Linked DNA regions of Callithrix jacchus. The protein of the gene in region 2 binds, or shares a complex with, the protein of the main gene of each other region. Links are inferred from orthologs where the notes say so. Each region holds a gene or a part of one and is shown on either strand. Other genes may lie near its edges.

What was found. The genes of interacting proteins can lie anywhere in the genome.
Region 1: PIGH (region 2) and PIGY share a complex: the UniProt entries of both Homo sapiens proteins name them as parts of the glycosylphosphatidylinositol-N-acetylglucosaminyltransferase (GPI-GnT) complex. The link is inferred for Callithrix jacchus from reciprocal best matches to the Homo sapiens genes PIGH and PIGY.
Region 3: PIGH (region 2) and PIGC share a complex: the UniProt entries of both Homo sapiens proteins name them as parts of the glycosylphosphatidylinositol-N-acetylglucosaminyltransferase (GPI-GnT) complex. The link is inferred for Callithrix jacchus from reciprocal best matches to the Homo sapiens genes PIGH and PIGC.

The regions. Positions count from the first base shown.
Region 1 is NC_133504.1:109,148,143-109,150,686, reverse strand, and holds PIGY (phosphatidylinositol N-acetylglucosaminyltransferase subunit Y), read right to left. Parts: upstream 1,063-2,544; 5' UTR 965-1,062; coding exon 749-964; 3' UTR 501-748; downstream 1-500. Other genes in the region: PYURF (protein preY, mitochondrial), read right to left, coding at 1,063-1,209. UniProt on the Homo sapiens protein: Part of the glycosylphosphatidylinositol-N-acetylglucosaminyltransferase (GPI-GnT) complex that catalyzes the transfer of N-acetylglucosamine from UDP-N-acetylglucosamine to phosphatidylinositol and participates in the first step of GPI biosynthesis.
Region 2 is NC_133509.1:102,593,116-102,597,278, forward strand, and holds the start of PIGH (phosphatidylinositol N-acetylglucosaminyltransferase subunit H), read right to left. Parts: upstream 2,801-4,163; 5' UTR 2,716-2,800; coding exon 2,536-2,715; intron 1-2,535. UniProt on the Homo sapiens protein: Part of the glycosylphosphatidylinositol-N-acetylglucosaminyltransferase (GPI-GnT) complex that catalyzes the transfer of N-acetylglucosamine from UDP-N-acetylglucosamine to phosphatidylinositol and participates in the first step of GPI biosynthesis.
Region 3 is NC_133519.1:30,306,165-30,310,190, reverse strand, and holds PIGC (phosphatidylinositol N-acetylglucosaminyltransferase subunit C), read right to left. Parts: upstream 2,801-4,026; 5' UTR 2,692-2,800; exon of another isoform or gene 2,383-2,691; intron 1,581-2,382; 5' UTR 1,343-1,580; coding exon 449-1,342; 3' UTR 106-448; downstream 1-105. UniProt on the Homo sapiens protein: Part of the glycosylphosphatidylinositol-N-acetylglucosaminyltransferase (GPI-GnT) complex that catalyzes the transfer of N-acetylglucosamine from UDP-N-acetylglucosamine to phosphatidylinositol and participates in the first step of GPI biosynthesis.

The DNA.
Region 1 (2,544 bases), on a different chromosome or scaffold from region 2:
GCTCAAAAGGGTACAAACTACTACTTGCAAGTCTTCGACCCCTCACTTTCCTGGGAAATGATTCTAGAGAGGAAGTACCTCTCTAAACACAGCCTATGTTTAGTGCAGTTTTACAACTTCCCTTTGTATCAATCACACTTCTGTGACCAAACAAATGACTACTGCAAACTGGTTTATTTCATCTTTTATGGTAAAGTGTCAACATCTTTATTGCTAATATAAGCAGTTAATGTCAAAGAAATGAAGGTAATTTTACAAACTTAATTTCTGTTAAGTACCTGAAATTTCTATTTGATGATATGGTTTTATATCACACTTGTTCAAATGCATTTGTCTCCCTTAGAGAGAGTATTTCAACATCACTCCTTTAGAATTATTTCAGTCATTCCTAACATGTGACTTTACCAAAGACCTTAAACTTAACAAACAAGCAAAACAAAATTTCAATAACTTTTAGATGAACAGAATAAGAAATACTCATGACATGACAATTGGGGATGTTCATCTCCAACAAGACACTGTCAAAATGTTTTCTCTGATACAGCAGTTATAAGTCAGAGCCTGCAAAACACAAGGGCAGAGCAAGAGTACAACAAAAGAAGCATCTGCAACTTAAGTCTCCCACAGTCCTAAGCCTGATATACACAAAGCAAAGCCTCTTTCCTGCAAACTTCCATCCAGTTGAGCTTTCAGAGATAGATGCCCAAGAGCTATTATTAATAAATATAGCATATTGACACTAGTTACATCAATTATGCCTGAAGAGTTTAATACCCATCCAAGTCCAAAGGTGGAAGAATACATACACTGGTATGGAAATAGGCAAGAGCAAACTGTAAAAGCAAAGGCTGGCTGTGCTAGTGCAGCCCTGTGGGAAGTTTTCTTCCACAGAGGCCGAGTAGAACAGTCCTGCTAAAGAAACCAGTGGAATAAGAACAGTCAACGTAGGAAGAGACATAAACATTCTTCTCTTCCAATTATTACCCTCCACTATGTTTTAAAAGGTATACGGTATTAAGAAAAGTCAGCTGTTGGGTTTTTTTTATTTTTTTTAATTATGAACTAGCGCTGCTCCAGTTCTTCTTGCTTCTTACTTTGATGCGTCATCCTAGCTGCCTGCGGTATCATATTAGGAATCCCATCAATGATTGGATAAGCTATTCCCAATTCTTCATTAATCAATTCATTTGTTGATGCTTCATATCTGAGGTTGAAAAAAAAAAAGAACAAAATGAATTGTGAAAAATAAAATGCTTGAAGAGCCTGATTTTCAACAAATACCACCATTTATCCAATTCTCGGTATAGAGTTAGTTAATCCCAGAGTAGTCTTCTTCAATTCTAAAAGCAACAATAGCCAATTCAACCTTTTATCTTAAAAAAAATTCTCTTAGAATCTATAATTATTCCCATTTTAGTCGGTTTCTCTCATATTCTCTTTTTCGCCTTATTCACAAGTTATTCCTTAATTTCGTTTTTATAGTAGTCAGAAAAGATCCCCCTCTTACCCAAATATTCCTTCACTACTTCGGTCAACCCTCAAACCATCTCTGTAAATTTACTACTGGAACAAACACTAGAGAAAAATCAACTTCTTCATTTTAGAATAAATGCTAAATAGAGAAACTTAACTAATCCATTAGAAGGAAATAACTGGAAAAGGTGAGAGGGCAGAAATGAGAAAACACTGGAAAGCAGTGAGTCTGCGGTGAGCTAGTTATAAAGGCAAATCAAGTAATTTCAAGGTTTGAGAAAATTGAATAATATTATGGGAAAAAAAGAAATATGAAAAAACTGCTAGCAATCTACCATTCAAAGATAGTCCCTGATAACATTTTGGTGTTTAGTTTATGCGATTTGTAATACTAGTGTTAATGTTGTTGATATTCAATTCTGGTAGCTTGGAAACTGTAGAGCTGTTTTCCCAAAAACTAGGTTAAAGAGGTTTCTACGAAACCTGCTAGTCCACAACTAAGAGCCACTGGGCAGCACACACAGGTGAAATGCTTAAGATTGTCAGGCACCAGTTGTACACGACACCTTCACAAGAATCTGGAGGGTACAACAATACTTTTCATCATCTTGGCTTAAAAACCAGAAGGCTTTGGCCTTGTCCTGAATCGCAGTGGTTCATAAACCTGGTTATACCTTAGAAATCATTTCGGGGTCGTTTAAGAACACACAAATAAGCTGGGAGTGGGGGCGGCGCCTGTATCCCCCAGCTCCTTAGGAGGCTGAAGCCGGAGTTCTAGGCCAGCCTGGGCAACGTAAGGAGCACCCTGTCTCTTAACAGGAAAAAAGAAAAAAAAAAAAATACAAATGTTCAGGTCTCATCCCTCGGACATTCCGAGTCTGCTGGTCTTGGGGGCTGTCGGGGAATCGGCATTTTTAAAACGGTCCCCGGGTGATTGCATTGCGCAGCCGGTGGCGAACCTAAAACGCTTCAAGCCATTCCCGTAGTCTGGCGATGTGGTCGGGCAGATGTGGGACGCGGCTCCCCTGGCCTCCGGTCTCCCGGTCCTGCGGGGCCAGAGTCCAGAAAATG
Region 2 (4,163 bases):
GCTATGTGTTGATTGATGAATGGAGGATTCAGTACTGGTTCTCTGATGATCCAAAAAGATCTAATTTTGCAATTAAGATTAATTGCACTGAATAAGCATTATGAAGAATGGAGAGGAATACAATTCAGCCCTAACCCTTACAGATTTATTAAAGGCAAGATTAATACATAGAAAATATTCTGGAGGATACTCTGATACTGACTACAAGTACCAAAGGAAAAGTTTTTTTTTTTTTTTAAATAAAAAAGAAAGAAAAAGATATAAAAACACACAAGAATATATCCCATCACATCCAAGGAAATAGGATTTTAATTGGTGCAGGGGAGGTGGTGGTTAGTGGCCAATCTAATTAGTTGAAAGGGAAGGGAGAAGAACATTCCAGGGTGGAATAAACAAGGGAACAACCTGGAACTTTAATAGAACTGTGAACTCAAAAACATGAAGGGATTAAGGACAGTAAATCCTTAGGGATTTGATCCACGTCAGTTTTCCAGTGAAAGCAATCCATGCCTAAAACTTCATTACTACCTGCATTTTTTTACTTCATTTTTCTGTATAGAATTCAAACAATTCAATATTCATTTGAGTTGGTATTAAGCTGTATGTTTGAATGAATTCCTTCAATCAGATTTCTTCTCATTCCAGATATGCACTACTCTCATAAAGTTTTGAATAGGAAAGGTAAGAAATTTTGGCACACAGAGCCCTTAGGAAGTGTTGCAGTAGAGTTTAAAGGAAGATGAGGTCACTAAATCCCGGGCATTTGATAGGGGTGAGCAGAGTACACCAGGATAAGAGACATAAGTACAGAGGGGACCTGGCATAAAAGCAGGCTTTTGTTTTTAAATTTTGCCTAAGATCAGCTATACAATGGTATAAAGGAAAAAAAAGGGTCTTGGAGTCAAAGAGCCCTGGGTTTGAAGCCCAGATCTGCCATTTACTGCTTTGAGACTTTTGGTAATCATTATTCTTTGTAAGCCTTGGTTTTCTTCATTCTAGGCTGAAGTAAAGAATTTAGTAAAGCATCCGGCACTCAGTGGGCATTTAATAAATATCTATTTCCTCCTCCTCCTCCTCACATGACCACATACATAGGCTATAACAACTCAGGCTAGTACTAAAATTCAACTATACTATATTTTAAATGTTGGGGGTGCTGTCAAATCAATTTAATCATCATTTTAACTGACTTATGAACAAATTTTTTTTTTTTTTTGAGACAGAGTCTTCCTCTGTCGCCAAGGCTGGAGTGTAGTGGCACGATCTTCGCTCACTGTTACCTCTGCCTCCTGGGTTCAAGTGATTCTCCTGCCTCGGTCTCCCAAGTATCTGGGACTACAGGCATGCGCCACCACACCCAGCTAATTTTTGTATTTTACAAATACAAAATACATGGTGATAAAAATACAAATACATAGTGAGACACGGTTTCACCATGTTGGCCAGGCTGGTTTTGAACTCCTGACCTCAAGTGATCCACCTGCTTCAGCCTCCCAAAGTGCTAGATTACAGGCATGAGCTACTGCACCCTGACTGAACAGACTTTTAGATAGTTTACTACAATTAGGGCAGTCTTAATTCTGCATATTTCTATGCTAAATTACCATACTGTGAAATATGCTTTGACAGCAAAAAAAAGCTAATGGATGCAGTAATGGAAACAATATCCAAGTTACAGAAATAAATAGCCCTGCTGTACTTAACTCCGATCAGATCACTTCAGGGATAATACATCCAACTCAGGCACTACATATGAAACTAGAACTCAGCCTGAAAAGGCAATTAGGATAATTCTTTTTATTTGAGAACTGTTATAAAGTTACTGCATTTAACCCTCACAATATCATGAAGCTGGTATGGCAGGCATTAATTCTATTTTAGAGATGTAGAAAATTGAGGCTCAGAGAAAACAGGAATGAATCTGGAAATTGAGCACAGATACCACACACATCCAAAATTTCAAAATCCTTTAGAAAGTACTTAAAATTGGGGGAGAGTTTGGGAGGAGGGAGGGTTAAACTGTATTGAAAAACAGATTAGGAAGAACGATAACACTATATTTATACACACAGCTACACAAGTGTACACTGTGGAGGCAAAGACAGTTTGTGGAAAACTACATAAGGTATTGTTAGCAGCACTGCCTTTGAGGAGCAGAAGTGATAGACGAGGAAGACCCACTTACTTCCCTGAACTCTTGGAATTAAATTACTACGCGCCTATATTACATAGAACACGTGGAAATTAAAGTTTTAGACCATCGTGCAAGAACTAGATGTATGCTGGGTGAACCCACCGAGCAGAGCACAGACACAGAGGGGAAATGTACTTTCCAGGAGCACACATTCACCAAACATCATTTAAAGAGCTGTCCAGCATCGGAGTGGCGTCCCCAAAACCCGTGAGTTCCCGCCCTCTGGTCCTACCACTGTAGGAGGGGCCAACCAGAGATCTGGGCTCGATCAAAGACCCCAGAGACTCTCCCAAAGCCGAACCCCCTCCTCCGAGAGAGCGGAGGGGCCGACCAGCCATTACCTCGCAGAGGCTGAAGAGTCCGTAGGCCGCCAGCCACACCGTGCAGGTGACAGCCGTAAGCGAACGCAGCGAGAGCCGAGGGCAGCTGAGGCAGAACTCCCGGCAGGACGGGGAGTAGTAGCGGCGCTGCAGGGCCAGGCGGCCGCCGCAGATATCCGAAAAGCTCCGCTCATCCTCCATGACTGGCTTGCCCCTACTAGGCGGCCCGCACTGCACCGCGTTCTTCTGCTCTCCCAGCCTCGCCAGCTCCAGACCCGCTTCCGGCAGTCGCGTCACCACGCCCCGCCCCTAAGCCCGCGCAGCCTCAGTTGCGCGCCAAGAGCCCTCCTGGGGTCTGAGTCTGAGAAAGGGAATGGTCAGACCCATCTCTTGAATGGTGAGTCATGTGTTTTAACAACGTTTCTTGTTCACCAGATACACTTCATTAAAAAGCGAAGTGGGGCCGGGCGCGGTGGCTCACGCCTGTAATACCAGCACTTTGGGAGGCCGAGGCGGGTGGATCACGAGGTCAAGAGATCGAGACCATCCTGGTCAACATGGTGAAACCCCCGTCTCTACTAAAAATACAAAAAAAATAGCTGGGCATGGTGGCGCATGCCTGTAATCCCAGCTACTCAGGAGGCTGAGGCGGGAGAATTGCCTGAACCCAGGAGGCGGAAGTTACAGTGAGCCAAGATCGTGCCATTGCACTCCAGCCTGGGTAACAAGAGCGAAACTCCGTCTCAAAAAAAAAAAAAAAAAAAAAAGCGAAGTGACAGTCAGAAAAGTGAAGTGACTTAGCCAAGGTCATACAACTTGGAAGCAGCAGATCAGGAAGAAAAATCCAGGTCACCTGCTAGGTAGGCTAGTCTTCCGTCCAAGGGCATACTAGACCCAGGTCAACTCAGCCATGTGGGGCTGCCAGATGTTTCTGCATGTGGATAAAGAGAAACAGGCCAAGGGCTACGAGGGGGCAGAATAAGCTAGAAACTCCCAGAACTTTGGTCCTAGAAGGGCCCTTAAGAATTATCCAGGCTGGGCATGGGGGCTCATGTCTGTAATTCCGGCATTTTGGGAGACTGAGGTGGGCAGATCACCTGAGGCCAGGAGTTCAAGACCAACCTGGCCAACATGACAAAACCCCTTCTCCACTAAAAGCTCGGCCTTGGCCCAGCTTCTGTAATTGTCTTCGTACAAAGTTTGTTGGGGGCAACAATTCAGTGGACAGATTAAAACGCTTTTAGGCCAGGCGCGTTGGCTCACACTTCCAGTGCTTTGGGAGGCCAAGGCGGGAGGATCGCTGGAGCCTGGGAGGTCGAGGTTGCAGCGAGCCGAGATCATGCCACTGCTCTCCAGCCTGGGTGACAGAGCGAGACCCTGTCTCGAAACAAACCCGTAGTTTGTTTTTGTTTTTGTTTTGAGACGGAGTGGAGCAAATTTAGCTCACTGCAACATCTGTTCCCTGGGTTCAAGCAATTCTCCGGCCTCAGCCTCTGAGTAGCTAGAATTACAGGCACCCACCACCACATCTGGCTGATTTTTGTATTTTTAATAGAGATGGGTTTTCACCATGTTGGCCAGGGTGGTCTCGAACTCCTGACCTCAGGTGATCTGCCCACCTCGGCCTCCCAAAGTGCTGGGTTTACAGG
Region 3 (4,026 bases), on a different chromosome or scaffold from region 2:
GAAGTGACTTTACGTACACACACACATATACACACACATTCTCTCTTTACTCTTCATGCTCTTCTGTCTGCCTACTATTTATGGAAAAATCATGAGACAACTTGATGAATGTGTTATTTTTTTTAATAGAAACCACATCACTTCATATGTTACAGTATGTAATTCAAGAGACCCCCAGAAAGTTTTTTCATCCACAAAATAATAGAAAGGATGAGCTCCCTTACCACCCAGGGAGTTTTGAAATAAGACCTCCCTGGAAATTCCATGCTGCGGTTGATGTTCTACCTACTTTTCCTTGTTTTCAGTCTTTGGTTCATTTTTTTGTTTTGATCTCTATTCTCTTACCACAATGACATGCTGCTTCCAGAATGGAACTCTGTCTTCAAGTTTTATACTAGTTAAGAGGCCAGTCTGTCAGCTTGCCTTAATATGTAATGGATGTCCTAATTTAGCTGAGGAACCTGGACAAGTCTTCCTTGATTTCAGCTTCATCCCAAGGCCCATGAATGTTTTCTTTAAAAAGCTGCAAGCGAATGAGGTAGAATGGACAGAGACATGAGATAGATACCAGCAGAAGGGCAAAGAGTATGGCTCCCACAGCACTAATGGACAGTAGGCCTCCCAAGGCTGAAAACGCAAACATCAGTGTGACCCCCACATAGCTCCGGGGAGTACATGCCTTTAGTTTCTTCTGTAACATGGGCCATAGGGCAAAGATCTGAATGGCAAATGTCACCATGATGAAGGCATGCAGGGAGCGGGGAAGGCGTGATGCCAAGCATACAGAAGCAAAGATGGCCATGTTCAAGGACAGTGTGCTGGATACAATGGCAGCATTGGCACCATAGTCAAAAAAAATGAGATGGCCTAACAGCATGAAGACTGACATGGCATAGATGGTGTCAGTGCTGACAGACTCTGTCAGGGTCTTTAGCACTGGTGAAAACCCATAAGTGAAAGTAATGAAGACTAGGGCACTCTTCAGGTCAGCCCACCGTGTCTGCCCACTCTTCCTTCGCCCTTCACCTCCATCAATGAGATCAAACAAAACATACCCAATCAGTGAAGAAGCCAGGCCAGCCCCAAAAAGCCAATGGGGGGCCAAAAGACCCTCATCCATATACCACCAGATAACTACAAAAACACAAACACTGCACAGCTGTTGGATCACCACACTGGACTCAAATACCACAGCCCAATATTGGTATTTCCGAGCGTGGATGTTTTTCCGAAGCTCTTCCAGGAACCGCCGGTCCACATAGTTATCTGGAAAGGGCTGTCGCTCATACAAGATCTTCTGCCACTTGACCTCCTTGGTGTTAGTTACAGGTTGGGCACACATTATCCTTTCATTCAAACTCAGGCCAGTTTAATCACTGCCCTCACAGAAGTCCGGGTGGTTCCTGTTCTCTATGAAGTTTTGAAATGAGACCTCCCTGGAAATTCCACGCTGTGGTTGATGTTCTACTGAACTTTCCTTGTTTTCAAAGGCAGCAACCCAGGCTAGGCCTACAACAGATGAGTTTGTCTCTGAAGCAGGACAACACAGCCAGGTTCCTAGAAAAAGAGAGACTGTGAACCTATGAAAGTTGTGAAAGGTCAAGGGTAGTACTGAGTTAAAGCCAAATCATTCAGTTTACTAAAAGTCTGAGCAAAATGTATTTGGTAGTCACCTTATCAATTTGGGATATTAAAACTGCATTTCAGATTTGAAAATTGTAATTCCTTGAATAATAATATGCATCTGTTAGCTATCACTTATTGAGTGCCTACTATGTGCTAAGTGCCTTATGTATCTTCTTTCACTTAATCCTCACAACCTTGCAAGTTAGTATTAGTCCTGCTTTAGTAAAAAAGCTGAGATTCAAAATGCTTAAGTAACTTTGCCGTAAGGTAACAGGGCGGAGCCAGCGTTCAAACCAGTCTTATCCCAAAGCCTGTGTCTCACATTGTATTTCCCTCTAAACCAGTTCATAACTCTCTGGTTCACATACCCCTCAGGTATATCACATTGCATGCTTATATCTGCATTTGTGTAAATTTATAGGGAAAATATCCATAGCTTTTATTGGTTCTCAAAGGCATGTTGTTTATATTTTTTAAGTTACCGATCCAAAGACAATAAATAGTAAGCTGCACTATACAGAAAGATACGAGTGCTGCAGTTTATTTAGCCAAAATCAAAGACTCAAAGAAACTACACTTTTCTTCCATTAGCTGAGCTTAGCATACTTTAAAGAGCTATCATTCTACTCAAAACGGCGAAACTCTTGCGAGGATCGAAGAAGATAATCATCCCTTTTTCACAATGGGAAAACTAAGAGTCAGCAACACCACAGCCATCTGGCAAATCAGAGGAAAATAATTTCATAAATGCCCGACCTAACTTCTTCCATGAAGACAAGTGCTGCTTGGCAAGTCAGACACCATTATTCCTCTCTCCGCTGCGGGGATCCCAGCCCAGGAATTTCAAGGCTATCGCCGGGGTTGGAGGGTCTGCGGCGCCCAAAAGGGCAGCGCCCGCCGGCAAAGTGGAGTTGGGAGGGGACAGGATAGGATAGGGTGACCCCAGGGGCGTGCCATCACTCTCCAGGTCTCCCACTCCCGCCGCCGCCCCTCACCCAGCCTTAGGCCTGCGGGGGACAGCAGAGGAGAAGGAGCCCCGGAAACACACGATTACGTGGAACCCACCTGCCCGAGAATTCCTGGGGATGCGCAGCTGCGGGGCGGCGGCCCTCAGACTTTTTCCCCCTCCGGTGTGCCGGGGCTGCGACTGTGGCCGAGTACTTCCGGGTCCTCCGCTATCTCCTCCGCGAGGGTGCCCTTCCCCAGCTTGAGCCACCGCGCCGAGGCTGCTGCCCTCTCCTGGCTGCTCAGAGACCGCCAGGCTCCCCTCCTGAAGATAGGCCTAAACCCGAACGCTCTAAACTTAGGAAAGCAAATCCCCAACAATCCCCTACAGCAAAACGGGATGTGCCATCTGAAGGGCTGGGTAAAGCAGGAGAGGGACAGGAAAAGAGGCTGGGCCAGTAGGTGAGAGATAATGGCCACTTCCGTTGCGCTCCTTTTATTAAGTCAGGCCCTCAGCTAGGGACTTCCCTGCATGCCTTCATTCCACAGATACTGGCTGAATGCGTGCAGGTAGCAAGCCCTGTTTGTGATGCTCACGATGCAGCCCTGAACTAAACACAAAAACTGCTGCTCTCATGAAACTCTCTTTTTTGTGCATTGATCTTTACACTGATTATATCATCTCCCCTCTCAAAGAGGACAAATCTAAGGCTTAGATAAATTGTATTTGTCCAAAGACAGGCACCTGGGAAGTAGATGAACAGAGATCAATATCCAGTTGTCTATAGCTTCGAAGCTTGGTTTTTCTCCTCTTTACCTCCTAAGAGGGGTGAGGAGAAGACTGCTAATTCAAGTGAGTTCATGGAAATATTAAAGGATGTATGAACAGATGGAGGTAATAAAGAAACAAAGGGATGTAGTAAAACACAGGTTACACTGGAAACGAAAGTTAGAAAACATGACCCATTTACTAGCTCCATGACTGAGGTCAAATCACACTATCTGACCTTTGATTTCTTCATCAGTAAAATGGAGATGACACTATTTGCACTTGGTTGCTTTATGGGATGGCTAAAGAGTTAAATATAAAATATAAAAATGTTTTGTAAAGTGTTTACTATATGGTTCCTGTTAGCTGACTTTGGCCATCATAATGAGAGCAATGCTCAAGAGTGATACATTCTGTAAACATGATCTCTATTTCCCTCTAGGCTTCTGTTCAAAAATTTGACAAGATTCCTTGGCTTAGTGAGGCCAGCCTTGTAAACAAGCCATTAGTGCTCAGCCTCCCCAGAAGGTAACCTCTCAGCCACTGAAGGCAAAAGTTTTATGAAACGTCTACAGAAGATGATTTCGTCTTACGGGATGGGGACAGTTATCAGAGGGCACATTTGATCCATTGGGAAACCCAAGTCAAGTGCTTTAAAAGTAGAAATATTCTGGGTTTCTCAGATG